2 linked regions of the Alligator mississippiensis genome follow. The protein of the gene in region 2 binds, or shares a complex with, the protein of the main gene of each other region. Links are inferred from orthologs where the notes say so. Each region holds a gene or a part of one and is shown on either strand. Other genes may lie near its edges.

Region 1 (7,404 bases), on a different chromosome or scaffold from region 2:
GTGTCTTTTGTACCTTCGAAGCGTGTTTACTTGCAACTGATATAAGTCAACCTAGGAAAAAAGAAACAATGGCATTAAATCATCATTAAATATGGCAACTGAAATGAAGGCAGAAGACATGCAGTATGTACTGTCCTTCTGTTCCAAGCAGCCTTTAGTATTCCGCCCAAAATAACATTCTGAACTGCCCTCTGAAACAGACTTGGAGGTGAAATTAGTAGATCACTGGCACAGAACTTTTTCTTCCTGGAAACGGTAGAGATTGCATTGGGCACTCATTTCTTTTCCATCAGTGAAGTCATGAGTCTCTCTGGTGCAGTGCCCAGATTGGGGGTGGGGGGTGGCAAGGAGAGAGGAATAAAAACACCTTTGGGTTTTCTGGCACCGTCTAAACTGACAACTGTAGCTTTTAGAATGTGGGTCTGAACTAAGCCTCCTTTGCAGGAGCGGATGCGTTAAGCAGTACATTTGTCACTATTATTTTTTTTGTCCTTCACAAGAGTCGGCAGCAGATATCAGCTGTGGCAAGAACTGCTGATCCCATAAAACTTGAAAAAGAGAACTGGCTTGTTCAGGAACTGTGGTCCGCACGGTGCCAAAATTGCAGCCCTGGGATTCAAGAGGGTAACTGCAAAGATAATTGTGGGGAAGACTACAAAAAACAGTCTCTAGGAACTGAGATAAGACCTTACAGGACTCAGAATATTCCAGGACCTCAGACATCTTCACCAGAGGCTTAAAAAAAAAAAGTGTTTTCCTTCCTGTCAACCCAGAATTCTTTAGCAGAGTGCTGGCAGTGAAAAGGCCTTATGGACAAATGCATTACCGGGGAACTTGAAGGAACAAGTTCTGCAGCCAAATCTTAAAAATGCTATTTGAGATCTTTGATACCTCGAACAGGCAACCTACCCTCCAGCTTAGTGCACTTATCCAGGGCATATAAAAAAAAAAAAAAAGGGTATTTCATACCATCTGAAATGGGAAACAAAAAGGTGCATATACGTTTTAAACACCACTTTTGTATATGGGATGTGCCAGATCAAAGCAACCACTTCCCCAAAAACTGGAATGTAATAGTGGCACTACAGTACATACTTTTACATTTAAGATTTAACTCTACTATGCTTTTATGTATGACACATATCTATTCTAAGTGTTTTTTTAACAGAATGGAGCAACTTCTGACTGTTCTGTAGCCATCCTGGCAGGACGGGGGAAAAGCCAAGGGACAGTTAAAAGGTGATAAAACATTTTATACACCGAAAGTATAAATGCTGGGCTCATGGTTCAGTAACTGCCTGACTCCTGCTGAAAAATGGTTCTGCTACTATGTGGCTAAGCACGTAACTCCAATACTAGGGATCTGGGGAGAAAGGTAAAATATTTCAGAATCAAAACTGATTTACGATTTAGGTTAGGCTTTATTTCCAGGAGAAGTATGATGAATAAAATGGAGAAAACAAATATTCCTTATGTAAGCATCTTAGAATATATCATTCTAACATACACAATGAATACAGAAGCATAGCCATAAGAAATGTTATATTTTTGTGACTAAAGCATGACAATTAAGAATCAGTTTTACATGGCAACCACATAAATAACTAGGCAGGTACCTCTGGAGTGTCAATGTCTTGCACTGGCGAGTCACCATCATCATCACTGCCTTTTCTCTTTCTTCTGTTTCTCACGCTCTGAATTAAGTTTTTGTGAAAGTCACAAATATAAAGATGCCTTGCCTAAAATAAAATGAGAAAAAGCCATGTTTTCCACGATTATTTTGCCAGGGTTTGGACACGTGCGGTCACACACAGCAGCGGCAGAGCCATCGCCATGTCTCGTGGCCTGAACTCGGGGCGGAGGAGATCTGCTGGTCCCGGCCAGACCCCCCCCCCCCCCTCCTTTCCCCCTCCGCGCTGCAGCAACGAGCCGACTCCAGGGAGCAGCCGAGCCCAGCCCCCTCCCGCCATCAGCAGGAAAATGACTTCTCCGTCGTCATCTTTTTAAAAGCCGCCGATGTCTCCCCCTGGTCCTCGCCGCCCTCCCCGAGCCCCTGCCGGCGAAGCAGGCACTCTCCGCCGGGCCCGGGGGGTTTAACAAGCCGCGCTCAGGCCCGCAGCGGCGCGGATCGGCTGCAGTTTCACTTTCAGCGACTCCGGGACCGCAGCCTCCCCCCTCCTCCCCCCCGGGCTCTTCCAACGCGAAGTTTCCGCAGCTGAAACCTCCCGGCACCCCCCGCAGCAGCAGCAGTCACAGCAACAGCCCCCTTTGTGCCGCTCGGGAGGGGGCTCCCCGCGCTCCCCACCGCGGGGCTTTGTCTGGGGCCGGCGCGGCTCTACCCCATGGCGGCCGGGCGGCCCCCGCGGGGACAGGGCAAGCAGCTCCCCTGCGGCAGGCGGGCGCGCCAAGGGCAAGGACGCGGCGCCCGGGCCGGGGGCAGTGGCGGTGCCTGCGCCGCAGCCCCCCCGCCGCCGCCTCCCCCCCCGACCCCGGGCCCGCGGGCACTCACGCTCTTGTCCAGCTCGATCTTCACCTTCTTCTGCGAGATGCTCTTCTGGATGCGCTTGCTGAAGCTGGCGTTGCCGGCGGCCCGGCCGCAGCGCTCGCCCTCCTCGCGCAGGCAGCACAGCTGCCCGGCTCCGGGCCCCGCCGCGCCCGCCGGGCCCGCAGCGGCGGCGGCGGCAGCAGCAGCGGCAACCGCGGCGGCGTTAGCGCCCGCGACGGCCCCGGCCCCGGCTGCGGCCCCGAGAGGCGGCGGCGGCGGCGGCACTGGAGGCGGTGGCGGCGGCACCTCCACAGCGGAGCCCGCGCTGGCCCCGGCGGCGGCGGCGGCGGCGGCAGCAGCAGCAGCAGCGGCGGCGGCGGCTGCGGGGTCCCCCCCGCGCGGAGCCGCGTCCTCAGGCGCGAAGCCGTTCATGACCGCGCCGCCAGCGGCTGCGTCCTGCCCCTCAGTTCAGCCCCGCGGCGTCGCGCACGCCCCGCGCCCCTCTGTCATGTGCGGACTTTTCAGCTGTTTCCTCTGTAACAACAGCAACCCACCCGCCCTAGCGCGCATGCGCAACCCGCCGCCTACCGGGACCTGTAGTTGGCGCCGCGGCGCCCGCTCCGCCCGCGGGGAGGCCTGGGAAACTACCGCTCCCGGCGTGCCCCACGCGCGCTCCGCCGCCATTTTGCGGAGCGCGGCAAGGAACAAGACGGGGAGGGGTGGGGTTATTTTGGAGGTTGCGCTTGCCTCCCCACCCCCACCCCCTGCTCGCTGCAGAAGGGAGAGGGGACGCGGGCTTCTGGTCCCGTTCGCAACGCGCATGTGCGGGGAGTTCTGTGTTGCGGTGTTTGTCGTACAAAGGCTCGGAGCAGCCGTTAGGATTTGAAATGTGGCCGTTCGGAGGCCGCGGACCTGCGGCAGTTCCCCCCAGAGAGCGCCCGGGCCCTTCCCTTCCCTTCCCTCCCTCCTCCCGCTGCAGCGCTGCCCCAGCGGCCTCACCTGGGCCGGTAGGCCGGGCCTGGGGAAAAGGCGGGAGTGCTGGGCTAGTCTGACTGAGCACTGGCGAGCTGCTGTCTGCCCGAGAAGCTGGCAGCCTGGCGCTCCGTGACGGCCTTTCGCCCTGGGTCTTTTTTCAGCGTTTCCCCTGGCAGAGGACAGCGTCAGTTGGAGTAACTGGGCTCGCTCCCACCGCCCCGCTGCGGGGAGCTCCTGCCCCAGACAGTTCCCCCCGCCATACTTCCACACACACACACACACGATGAGTAAATCTGACCGACCATTTTTTTTCATGTGCTTGCTGTGAGGGAAAAGGCTAAGTGGGCTGAGTTCTAGCCTGTAGTTCATACTGGGAATATCTGGGGGGGAGGGGGTCATTGTGAGAAGGCTTTGTTATAAAGAAATCTTGTAAATAACCTCATAAGCAACCCACCTATATGTCCTTTTCACCCCAGTGGGGAGATAGCAGTCTAGACCTGGCAGCAGGGCCCAGAGACTGCTCCCTGATTGGTTCCTCGTGACTTTATTTTTCATTGTACTGGCTGAGTGGTGTGCCCAGGTAACCAGTTCTGTAACTTCTATTGAAGTGTGGCTGACTGGGCCTCAGGAGAAAGCGTGAGGCTCTGATAAAGCTCGATGGAGAAAGTCCCAGGGAAGACAGATTAGTGAGAAAAAGAAGAGTCTCAGGGAGGATGGAACAGAGTCAAAGGAAGAACAGGGGGAACTGGTGTGGCACAATAGAGACTGGCTGTTTCAGAGCAGAGATTGCTGTGCTGTTGGGACACATCATTCTGCTACCCCTCCTCTTTAAAAGAGCACTCCCACTTCCACCCCCCCCCCCCTTCATGGGAGCTGATGAAAAGGAAGGAGCTGTTGGAGGTGTGGGTGCTATTGATCACTGAGGAAGCGGGAGACTGAGAAGATCCAGGGTCTCCAAGTCAGAGGCTCTCCCCTGCTAGGGGCTGGCTTCTAGGGGTCCTCTCAAGACAGGGAGACCAAATAAGGCTGCTTCTTGGAGAGTTGCAAGGCAGAGCTCCCCCCTCCAACAAAAGGGCATTGATCTTATGACACCTGCAAAGCACATTTGCACTGGCGTTGGAGTGTTTTGTTTGTCAAATAACTTATTTGACAAACAAAATACTCCAACCTCCCTGCCCCTTTTGGTCAGCTATTCCTTTCAAGTTAAGACAGCGGGAAAGGCCATAGGCCAAAGAAAATGGTTTAATTTAATTGAAAACATTTCAATGTATGAATTATGGCCTATTCGAAGTTATAGAATCAAAATAGGGAGTGTGACAAAACCCAATAATTTAAGGAGATACGGGCTCAGTGCATTGCGCACTCAGGGGTTACAACGGTTTCAATTTCTACTTCTTAACCTGATTTTATAACCCAGTCTTACAGAGTATGGGTACAATCCCACATCAAACTTGCATCTGTGTTGTGATTCAGAGGGTCAGATTCAAACAAAAACTGAGGCATGTAAATCCAAAAGTGCAATCCACCTGCTTAACTGTTGTTTGAGACTGTGATGGTCCACAGTCTCAAGCTTTTGCTTGGTAGGCAGGTGCCTACGGTTTTGTTACTTCACATGCCCAGAGATGTACCAATACAAAGGATGTACAGAGGCTGAGCCAATATCACCAACGCCTATCACACATTTCAATCCACTTGAGACTCAAGGGTTCATTTCAAGAGGCCTACTCTGAGTACACTTACCCATAAATCACACCAAAAGCATTAAGTTCAGCACAAAGCAGAAGACACTTTCATGGTCCCAGAGGAACAGACTTGCACCTTCAGCTTCCTCTGTGCAAAAATGAAGTTTATTTTCTACCTATGGGGACTTTTTATCATCTTTTATTTTTCCTGAGCCTGAGGAAGGGCGTGTGTGCCAGAAAGCTTGCAGAAAAAGAGATTTTTTTAATGATTTCTTAGTTGGTCTAATAAAAGGTATCACCTCTGAACCAAGAGTTCTAGAGTTTTGCATTTCTAAGTCACAATCGCTTTCATTCAAAACCATAGCTGATGGTGGCGCCGCCTATCTTTTGCATAGACAAATGATTAGAACACAGCAATCAATCACTACTACACATTGCTATTAGATAGCATAGGAGCAAGAGATAGCCTTACCTTTAGCCAACTTAGAATGGATGCAGCAGCAAAAGTTAACCCAGGCTGTCTTTACACTGATAGTTTTAGCTCTGATTTGTTCAGTAGTTCAGGGATTCCCCCAGTTTAGCGGCTGCTGCTTTTTATAGGCAGGTAACCCTTTACCCTGGTTAAACATTTCATCTGTCTGTGCCGAGTCACATTCCTTCTTTCTTACTCTCTTGGGCCCTATGAATCCTGCATTCTTGGCTTCCAAGATAGTGTATTCAACACTGGATGACAGAGTCATGTGCTATCTTTTCATGGCCGTATGATGTTGCATTCCTTTTTATGCAACAGTCCTGCTTTAGCAGCAGGGGCAGAAGATTAGAGCACTCTCCTGGAGGTGAGAAAGATACCAGTAGATTTGAAACTCCTCAGGCTGTAAAGCAGTATAACTAGGTCTACCACTTCCTGGGTGCATGCTTAAACCACTAGGTATAATACAAAGGGTGGATTGTCATCATTGCCAGCTGTGTAAGAGTGATGAAAAAGTAAGCCAGTTACCTGCATCCAAAGGAAGAAATCAGTTGATAAGTGCATGAAGGCACTTTGCAGGAGAAGATTGATTCCAGAGATGTCCCCCTGTTCCACATTTCCTAATGGCTACCTTAGGTGTCCTCCCTGCTTGGCATACCAGCTGTTGTGAGTTGCAGTTATCTAAACTCTTCTCATCCCTTGTATAGGAACACAGGTATCCTAAAAGATATGTAAATTCTACACTTGGATCTGACTGCCTAAATGGCATGGCCATACCAAAATGATGCTGTGCCCAGTTCCCTTAGTAAGTGAATTTATATTAGGCATAAAGATATAGATGCCAGTTGCACAGAAGGGATATAACTAGGGACCTACTTAATCTGTGGTTTTGTGGAGTTTGCAGAAACAATGAAATCTGGGATAATCTACAAAATCAACATTAAAAAAATCTTAATAAAAATAAAATGCTGGCTCCCTCTGGGAGCCATTGGTTCCTGCTGCCTGAAGGGGAAAGTGCCAGCTGGTATGGTGGCAGGATAGGATGGTGGCTGCCCTCTTGTTCCTCCTCCCCACCCCGGGGCCTCTCTGCCAATCAGCACCAAGGGGCGGGGCCACCACACAATGCCCACAAAATCAGCTCTGTATGCTGCAAACAGGTTGTGAAAAACCCTTCCTCTCACTGCAACTTAAGTAGGTCCCTAGATATAACCCCAGGGCTCCAGAATCTACACTGGTTCCCAAGAGCTTTCTGGGTACAACTCATGGTACTAGTTTGATGGATAAAGCTCTAATCATTCTGGGCCCGATGTACCTTATGACTGTCTTATGCCCTATCACCAGGGATCCTGGTTTTCTCTGATTTAAAAAAAATCCCCAATTTTCAGATTAAAAAAAGTATTCCCAAATTCACATTTTCTCGTGATTAAAATGAAACACCACACACACACACATATATATACACATGTATATATAAGTGACTTTTTAAATCCGAAAATTAGGGATTTTTTTTAAAATCAGAGAAAAGCAGGATCCCTACCCATCACAATCCAAAAGGTCAGCTAAGATTAACCTTCTGTAAGCCTCTGACAAAGACATTGAATTACAGGCTCATATACTTACCTATATAAAGAAACAATCAGTATAAAAAAAATAACGTTTGAAGTCAAGCGTTATTAGGTCATGCATTGCTTTAAAGCCTTGATCTTGTAGGGGCCCTAGGGACTGTGCTAATGGGTACACAAGACTGGTAAAATTATTGCAGACATCAGGATCTAACTTGTGGTTCTAGGAAA
Region 2 (7,962 bases):
CCTGGCCTGCTAAGAGAAGGGATCGATACAGCTCCCTTCTCAACCTGTCAGCAGTGCCCGAGGGGCTGGAGCAGGGATAGGGAACCCCCGGTACGGGAACCAGAGTGTGGCGCGCAAAGGCATTTTGCTTGGCACACGTGCCTCTGGGCGGAGGGTGGGGAAGGGGCCAGGTCCATGCCGCTACAAGGATTGTACCCTCGCAGCTCCCACGCCATCTGCCCTGGCCCGCCAACATCTCTCGAGTTGAGGTTGCAGGTATTTTGGAAACGAGGCACAAAAATGTTGTGTACCCCTGCACTAGAGGCTGAGGACAGCATCAGGACTCTCCCCTTCCAGCCGGAGTGAGCCAGCAGCCCGACAGCGCCGACCCAGCCACGGGCCAAGCCTGTCTTTAGGTGGGGCAGGGCGGTGCCAAAGCTCCTGCCAGCACCAACCCTGCAGGGGCCAGGCTGGAGGGTCTTGCCCCCGCTCCAAACCCAGGGGGGCAGGACGGGATTCCCCCTGCCCAACCTGGTCTGCACGGGGGGGGATGGGGGGGGTGGCCTTCCTCTGCAGCAGGGGCATGGCCTGGGCTCAATGGGGGCCGCACTTACCTGGTGGTCATCTGCGAGCGCCGCCCGCGCCGCTGCACCTGCCGGTGCTTGATCATGATGTTCCAGGGGCTCTGCGGGGACAGCCGGCAGGTGGGGGCTCACGTGGGACCCCAAGACCCAGGCCGCGGGGGAAGGGACGACAGCCCTGGGGGTGTGTGGAGGGGGGCAGCCCCAGGGGGAGGTATAGAGGGGGGACAGCCGATGGGTGGGGGCTCGCGTGGGACCCCAAGACCCAGGCTGCGGCGGGGTGACGGGGGGGACAGCCAGTGGGTGGGGGCTCGCGCAGGACCCTGAGACCCAGGCTGTGTGGGGGGAGGGGGGCAGCCTCTGGGGGAGGTATAGAAGGAGGACAGCTGGTGGGTGGGGGCTCACGCGGGACTCTGAGACCCAGACCGTTGGGGGGGGGGGGGGGGAAACGACGACAGACGGACGGGGGGACGACAACAGCCCTGGAGGGGGGTGTGTGGAGGGGGGCAGCCCCGGGGGAGGTATAGAGGGGTGACAGGACTGGGGAGGATATGGAGGGGGGGCAGCCCCCGGGGGGGTGGACGGACAGGACTGGGGGGGCAGCTCCGGGGGGGGGGTCTGTGGAGGGTGGAGGAAGACTGGGGCCCAGGACCGGGGGGGCATGGAGGGGGCAGCCCCGGGGGGAGGTATAGAGAGAGGACAGGACTGGGGAGGATATGGATGATGCTGAGGGGCAACCAGCACGGTTTTGTTAGGGGCAGGTCATGTCAGACCAACCCGATTGCCTTTTACGATCAGGTCACAAAAGCACTGGACGCAGGTGTGGCCGTGGATGTAGTCTTTCTGGACTTCAGCAAGGCCTTTGACACTGTCTCCCACCCCATCCTCATTAAAAACTAGGTGACTGTGGCATCGATGCCTGCACAGTCAGATGGATTGCTAATTGGCTGAAGGGTCGTACTCAGAGGGTGGTGGTGGACGGGTCATATTCGACCTGGGGGGAAGTGGGCAGTGGAGTCCCCCAGGGCTCGGTCCTTGGGCCCGTGCTGTTCAATTTCTTTATCAGCGATTTAGACGACGGGGTGAAAAGCAACCTGTTCAAATTTGTGACCTGATGATACCAAAATCTGGGGTGAGGTGGGCACGCTGGTAGGGAGGGAAAGACTGCAGCAAGACCTGGACAGGTTGCAGGGGTGGGCTAACAAAAACAGGATGTGTTTCAATACGGACAAGTGCAGGGTGCTGCACTTGGGCAGTAGTAACCGGCAGCACACTTATAAGATGGGAAACCCCCTTCTCAAGAGCACGGAGGCAGAAAGGGATCTTGCAGTCATCACTGACTCCAAGATGAACATGGGCCGACAACGCGAGGTCACGGTCGGCAGGGCTAACCGGACCCTATCGTGCATCCACAGGTGCATCTCAAGTAGGGCCAAGGAGGTGATCCTCCCCCTCTGCACGACACTGGTCAGGCCGCAGCTGGAGTACTGCGTCCAGTTCTGGGCGCCCCACTTCAGGAGGGATGTGGACAGCATGGAGAGGGGCCAGAGGAGGTCACCTGCATGATCCGGGGACAGCAGGGCAGACCCTACAATGAGAGGCTACGGGACCTGAACCTGTTCAGCCTTCACAAGAGAAGGCTGAGGGGGATCTGGTGACTGTCTATAAACTCACTGGGGGGACCAGAAGGGTTTGGGGGAGACCTTGTTTCCCCCAGCACCCCGCTGGATAACAAGGAGTAACGGCCACAAGTCGTGGGAGAGTAGGTTCAGATTAGACATCTGTAGGAACTACTTCAGTCAGGGCGGCTAGGATCTGGAACCGACTTCCACGGGAAGTGGTGTTGGCTCCTACCTGGGGGTCTTTAAGAAGCGGCTCGATGCCTACCTGCCTGGGGTCACTTGAGCCCAGTTTCTCTCCTGCCCAGGCAGGGGTCGGACCTGAAGATCTACAAGGTCCCGCCCCACCCGACTTCTGTGAGTCTATGAAGAGGGGCAGCCCGGGGGGGGCTATGGAGGGGGAGGAATAGACTGGGGCCCAGGACTGGGGGGGCATGGATGGGGGCAGGCTGGGGGGAGGTATAGGGGGGGGACAGCTGGCGGGTGGGGGCTTGCGCAGGACCCCAGGACCCAGGCTGCGGGGGGGGAGGGGGGCAGCCCCGGTGGGGGGTGTGTGGAGGGGGGACAGGACTGAGGAGGATACGGAGGGGGGCAGCTCCGGGGGGGCTATGGAGGGGGGAGGAGCAGCCCGGGGCCCAGGACCGGGGGGCACGGCGGGGCAGCCCGGGGGGGTGGGGTCTCACCGTGCTGACGAGCTGCCCGTCGCCCTCGTGCGGGCCCTCGTCCCCGGGCGGGCCCGGCGGCTGCTCGGGGTCTCGGGCCGCCCCCATCCCGCCTGCGGCGCGGGCCGTCGCACCCGGAAGCGGCGCTCCCCGAGTCTGCGGGCAACGTCATCGAGCGGCGCCGGAAGAGCGGCGCGCCGCCATGGCAACGGGCCGTCGGGGCCGCCATCTTGGGAAGGGGCGGGGCAGCGGGCCCCGCCCCCTCGGCCCCGCCCACACCTGCGCCTTGCCCCGCCCCCCTCCTGCTGACCTCTTGGCCGCGCAGGGGGGGGGAGGGACCAGGCTGGGTTCTTTCGGCGCCTCGCCGGGCGCGGAGGGACACCAGAGGTGCCGCCTCACCCCCGACGTCTGCTCTCCGGCCTGGAGACGTGTTATCGCGCCGTGTTAGACAGGGTGGGGACTCGGGTGGGCGAGCCTCGTCTTCGGGGGCACCTGGGAGATAATGCGACGACCAAACCTGCCGGCCTGCGTGTGTCGAGAGCCAGTCTAATCTCCCCGCTGCAGCGTCGCCGGCCTTGCGGGCGCGGGAGGAAAGGGCCGGCGAGATGTAGCGCGCCGTCAGCGAGGCGTGTTGTGATCTTCGAGAAGAGGCGGCGGGTCCCCCGGGCGATAGGAAGGACTGATGCACCGGATGAGGTTTTGAGCCCGTATCCATTGAAGTGGGCGGGACCGTCGCCACCGACTTGGGTTGGGTCAGGATCGGTCCTTTGCGTGCAACAGCCCGGTGTCGGCAGCCCGGCGCGGCCCGGCTCCGAGTCATCGGAAAGTCTGTTTCCAAAGCGCAGTTTACTTCCAAAGCCTCCTCGCTTGGGCGGGTTCAGGCGGACCGGGGCTTTGTGGAGCAGTTGGAGGAAGGGGAGAGCGTCGGCCGCCTGGGCGACAGGGCGCGCCTGGCGGAACAAGCAGGCAAGAGGATGCTCGAGCGCGAACGGGAGACAGCTGGCTGCGGGGACGCGAGGGGAGCCCGCACGCCCCTTCGGTGCCACGTGCCAATCTCATGCATTGCTCACACAAGCTGAGGACTCTGTGACCCGTTTCCTCACCCGCAGCGGTACTTCACACTGGGTATCGCAGTCTTCAACAGCCAGCTTTCATTTTCCGCATAAACAAGCCCACTGCTTTCCATTCAGCAGAGCAGGAAGCTCGAGGCTCAGGAGCTCTGGCCCCTGCACGCGCCCAGACCGCGCAGATGTTGCCCTTGGGTGAGTCCTCATCAGGAATTTATTCACTTGGTAACTTCCTCCTCGTCTTGTCACTGGCACCTGGGTGCTGGGGAAGAGAAACACGGGACAGGCTGTCTCTCAGGAAGCCAAAGGTCTTGGTCTCGTGCCGCTACTGTGCACCGCTCCCTGAACGCACTTGATGTTAAGATCCAGGGAGAGTGCTATTACTTGTCTGGGGGGGCTGCAACTTGGGAGGGGGTACATTTATTTCTAAAAACAAATTAAATGAGAGCATTTCCTCTATGACTGTTGGTTCACGTATTGTTTGTATGTTGGCTGTGCCCATAACATTGAAAAGCCATAGTCGAAGAGCAGTTAGCACCTGTTCGCTGTCAGACTGGAAGGACGTAGCCCAAAAGAGCCTTGTATCGCGAGAGTTTCTTCTTAGTCTGATGCTATTCGGTATTTTCCTGAACGACCTGGATGGTGGAAGACAGAGCACGCCTCTGAAGATGCCAGATGACACCAAGCTTTTAGAGGCGGCAGAAACTTAGGAGGGCAGGATTAGAAGTCAAAATTGTCTCAGTACTTTGAGGAGCTCAGTTTGACGGAGTCCCTTTAGGAAGGATGTGCAGAAAGCGCAGAGGATCCAGAAGCAAGCAAGAAAGACGATAGAGAGGCTGAAACGCAGCCAGGTGAGGAAGGGTTGAGAGAGCTAGGCTGTTTAGTGTGGAGGAAAGGAGATTGAAGGGGGCATGCTAGCAGTTTTCAAACAGTTGAAGGCCTGCAGGAAAGAGAATGGAGAACCACGGTTCTCCTTTGATCTTCTTAATTGATCATTTCCGTGTCGCAATCCTTTTTTGTAAAAACCATTTGCAGAAGGTCACCAACTGCGGGCAGAGTCTGCAGAGTATAATACAGAGACTGCGTGTACGGAGCTGTGAGGTTTCAGGTTCCAGTTTGGAGTGAAAGTCACAGTTTTCCATCTCTGACAAAGAGCTGGCCCTGAAGGCACCAGCAAAAGCTGGGTTGGCACCCAGTTCTCTGTGTCATTGTGCTCAGTGCCAGATGCTCTGAGATACAATTTCCGGCCCTAAACTTTGTTTTTCTGGGCCTTGGTCTCCTTCTGGAAGCAGGAGACAGAAGTGCTTTCCCACCTCCCAGAGGCTACAGGGAGGGCGAGCAGCTTACCGGTCGCAAGGTGCTCCGGGACCGTGGTCACCGAGGCGGTATCTGGACCGCAGCAGAACCCGGGAGGTACTTGGATGGTGTTGGCCAGCACGGCCAGAGCAGCAGGTCCCTTTGCTCATTGCCCACTGTGTCTGCTAACAGTGTCGTGAGCTCCTCTCTGGACGCGAACGGGTTCAGCGCAACAGAGCGAGCCCGTCCGGAGGACAGCGTGGCCGTGACAGCTCTCGTTGCTGCTGCTGCTCTTGAACGTTTTGGGGTACTAAACCCGGTGTGCGTTGGGAAGAGGCTGCCTGCGCTGCTACGTTGGCAAGTCACCCTTCTGGGTCCAGCTTAGCTTGGGGAAGAGTTCTCTGGCTGTTCCAGCGGTTTCCGTACCAGCCAAAGGAGTTTGGGGCTAGTGAAAGAGTACCGTGCTAGTGCTCTGGCTGGCAGAGCTGCGCTGATCACAGATGTGATTCATTAGCACAGCGAAGTGCTGCAGCTTTGCTAGCAGAACCTTTCAGGTTGGACCGGGCCTGAGTAACAGCACATCAGCTGCACCCGGCTGCATTCAAGACTCGGTGAAAAGTCCCAAACAGAGCTGAGCCAAGGGCCCCCAAGCCTTGGCCCTGTGGCAGGGAAGGGGGCTCCACGGGGTGAGCTGTCCCAGTGAAAGCTGGGGAGCTTTCAGTAAGATTGGACACCTGCAAGTACAGGCAGAAGGAAGAGGCTGAAATGTGCCGGCTCAGGGGGCCTGGCGTCCAGTACTGAAATTGGAGCATCCTGATTTTCAGCGGTGGTGTCACTGCCTCTGCCCCAGGAGGAAGAGCAGGTGTGCCGGACCTGAGCAATAGGCTACTTTACGTAACACCTTGTTTTAGGCCCTCAGGCTGGCCGGTGCCACCCAGATTGGAGAGCACAGGTGGGTGGCTCTGCCTTACAGTGCAGCAGTCGTGGGCTGCTCCAGAGCCTTGTTTAGCTTGCACCAAGGGGCTTTAAAGGTCAACTGTCTCTTGAAAATGATTCAAAACAACCCGGAGTGGCAGCAGGAACCTTCTCACAGCTCTGTGAAACCTCAGCCCAAGGCTTGGAGCTCGGCAGTGCCAGCACCACCACAGAGGGTGGAGGTGCTAGAACCTGCAACGACGCCTGCCCCTCTCCGCGGTGCACAGCATCCTCCGGTGGGGACTGCAGCCTGTGTGCAGAGCTCACTCTTGGAGGGGGTGGGTGGGGAGCCTTTCCTGGATTCGAGGCTGCGCTCCTAACTGAGTCTCTCTTCCCACTTCCAGCTCTTGGCTGCCTGTGCCTCCTCCTGCAAAGACCAGCAGTGGCAGCAGTGTCCATGGACAGCCAGTGCGGGGCAGCAGCAGTCCTCCCTTGCCCTCCTGCTGTCAAAGGGATGCAGAACTTCTGGGCCAGCGGCTGGTACAAGGTAGTGCCCTCCCAGAGAGGCAGCACGTGTCCTCAACCACTCGGAAGAGCCAGCGCTTTTCTAAACTGCAGCACAGCTCGTTTACATGGGCCAGTGCACATGGGGACTGGCTGGAGGGGGAGAGGGGTATCCAGGGCTCCTTCTATTTGTTTCAGTGGCTATGGACAGTTGGGATTATGGGTGCATGGGTGCAGAGACCCCCGCGGCACTGCCTGCTGCCTTATCCCAGCTGGCTCTGTGAGAAGTGCTGGCTGCTGCGTGCTGGGAGCCCCTCTGCCCGGTTTACATGTGCTGCGTGGCTGGGTGAGCGTAAGGCAATGCCACAGGCAGATGCATGAGAAGATGTTAATGCCCAGCAATGGGAGTTGGTCTGTTCTGCCCTAATTTAACCAGCGGCCCAGTATGCCGGGCTGTGCCACGCGCCCCGATGCACTAACGGGATCCTGTTGCTGCGTGCAGGTCATCAACAACAGTCAGGAAACGGGGCTGATTCGGAACCTCAAGAACAGGACAACGGTGTATGACAAGATCCAGCGGCTGTTCCTGATGGACGAGCAGCAGTCGCTGGTCATTCCTAAGGTCCGGCCAGAGGACGCTGGCACTTATCGCTGCTCCCTCTGGGCCAATGTGGGACATTTCAATCAGCAGGCAGACGTCATCCTGCGGGTATCAGGTGAGGCGGCTAGGCCAGAACCACAGGCACCAGAGGCCAGGCACCACAGTGATGTGAAGAGCTTGGAAAGCAGGCAGGCAGCAGACACAGGGCCCCAAGCTTCCCCCTCCCGTGGCACAAAGAGGGCGTAGGGGCAATAAAATAACGGCATCTGGGACAGCTGCCAGCCTCGCTGATACAAAACGGCTGCTTGTTTCACAGTATTTCCCAGGGGCTGCCCTTCACATGGGGCAGTGGATACCTGGCCCTTGGAGTCACCATCCCCTTCTTCCTTTTCTCATGCTTCAGGGAGGGGGAAGGACCCCCAAGACCCCTTTGAACTCTTCTGGTCATCCCCGCCATGCCTGCTGCTGTATGCCCTAGGAGCAGCACCATGTGCTCAGCCGCACATGGTGAGGGGGAGAGGTTTCTTCCTCTGTGTGCTGGGGGGAGGGTTTCCTCCTCTGTGTACTATCAGGGGGGAGAAGTTTCCTCCTCTGCATGCTACCAGGGGATGATCTTGTTCTTTGCATTTAAAAAAAAGCAAGTCCTACTTGATGAGGCAGGGTCTGTGCGATCCACCTCTTGGCCTGCGTTGTGTGTGCCAGTGTCATGGAGTTAATGAAACAAAATGAGACATGACA

The links. Proteins that work in one complex are often made in the same cells at the same time.
Region 1: deoxynucleotidyltransferase terminal-interacting protein 1 (region 2) and SAP30 share a complex: the UniProt entries of both Homo sapiens proteins name them as parts of the histone deacetylase complex. The link is inferred for Alligator mississippiensis from reciprocal best matches to the Homo sapiens genes DNTTIP1 and SAP30.

What each region holds. Positions count from the first base shown.
Region 1 is NC_081825.1:80,264,065-80,271,468, forward strand, and holds the start of SAP30 (histone deacetylase complex subunit SAP30), read right to left. Parts: upstream 3,005-7,404; 5' UTR 2,918-3,004; coding exon 2,510-2,917; intron 1,740-2,509; coding exon 1,617-1,739; intron 52-1,616; coding exon 1-51. UniProt on the Homo sapiens protein: Involved in the functional recruitment of the Sin3-histone deacetylase complex (HDAC) to a specific subset of N-CoR corepressor complexes. Capable of transcription repression by N-CoR.
Region 2 is NC_081832.1:636,200-644,161, forward strand, and holds the start of deoxynucleotidyltransferase terminal-interacting protein 1, read right to left. Parts: upstream 3,001-7,962; 5' UTR 2,950-3,000; coding exon 2,863-2,949; intron 665-2,862; coding exon 594-664; intron 1-593. Other genes in the region: CD83 antigen, read left to right, coding at 4,091-4,103, 6,524-6,666, 7,126-7,339. UniProt on the Homo sapiens protein: Increases DNTT terminal deoxynucleotidyltransferase activity (in vitro). Also acts as a transcriptional regulator, binding to the consensus sequence 5'-GNTGCATG-3' following an AT-tract.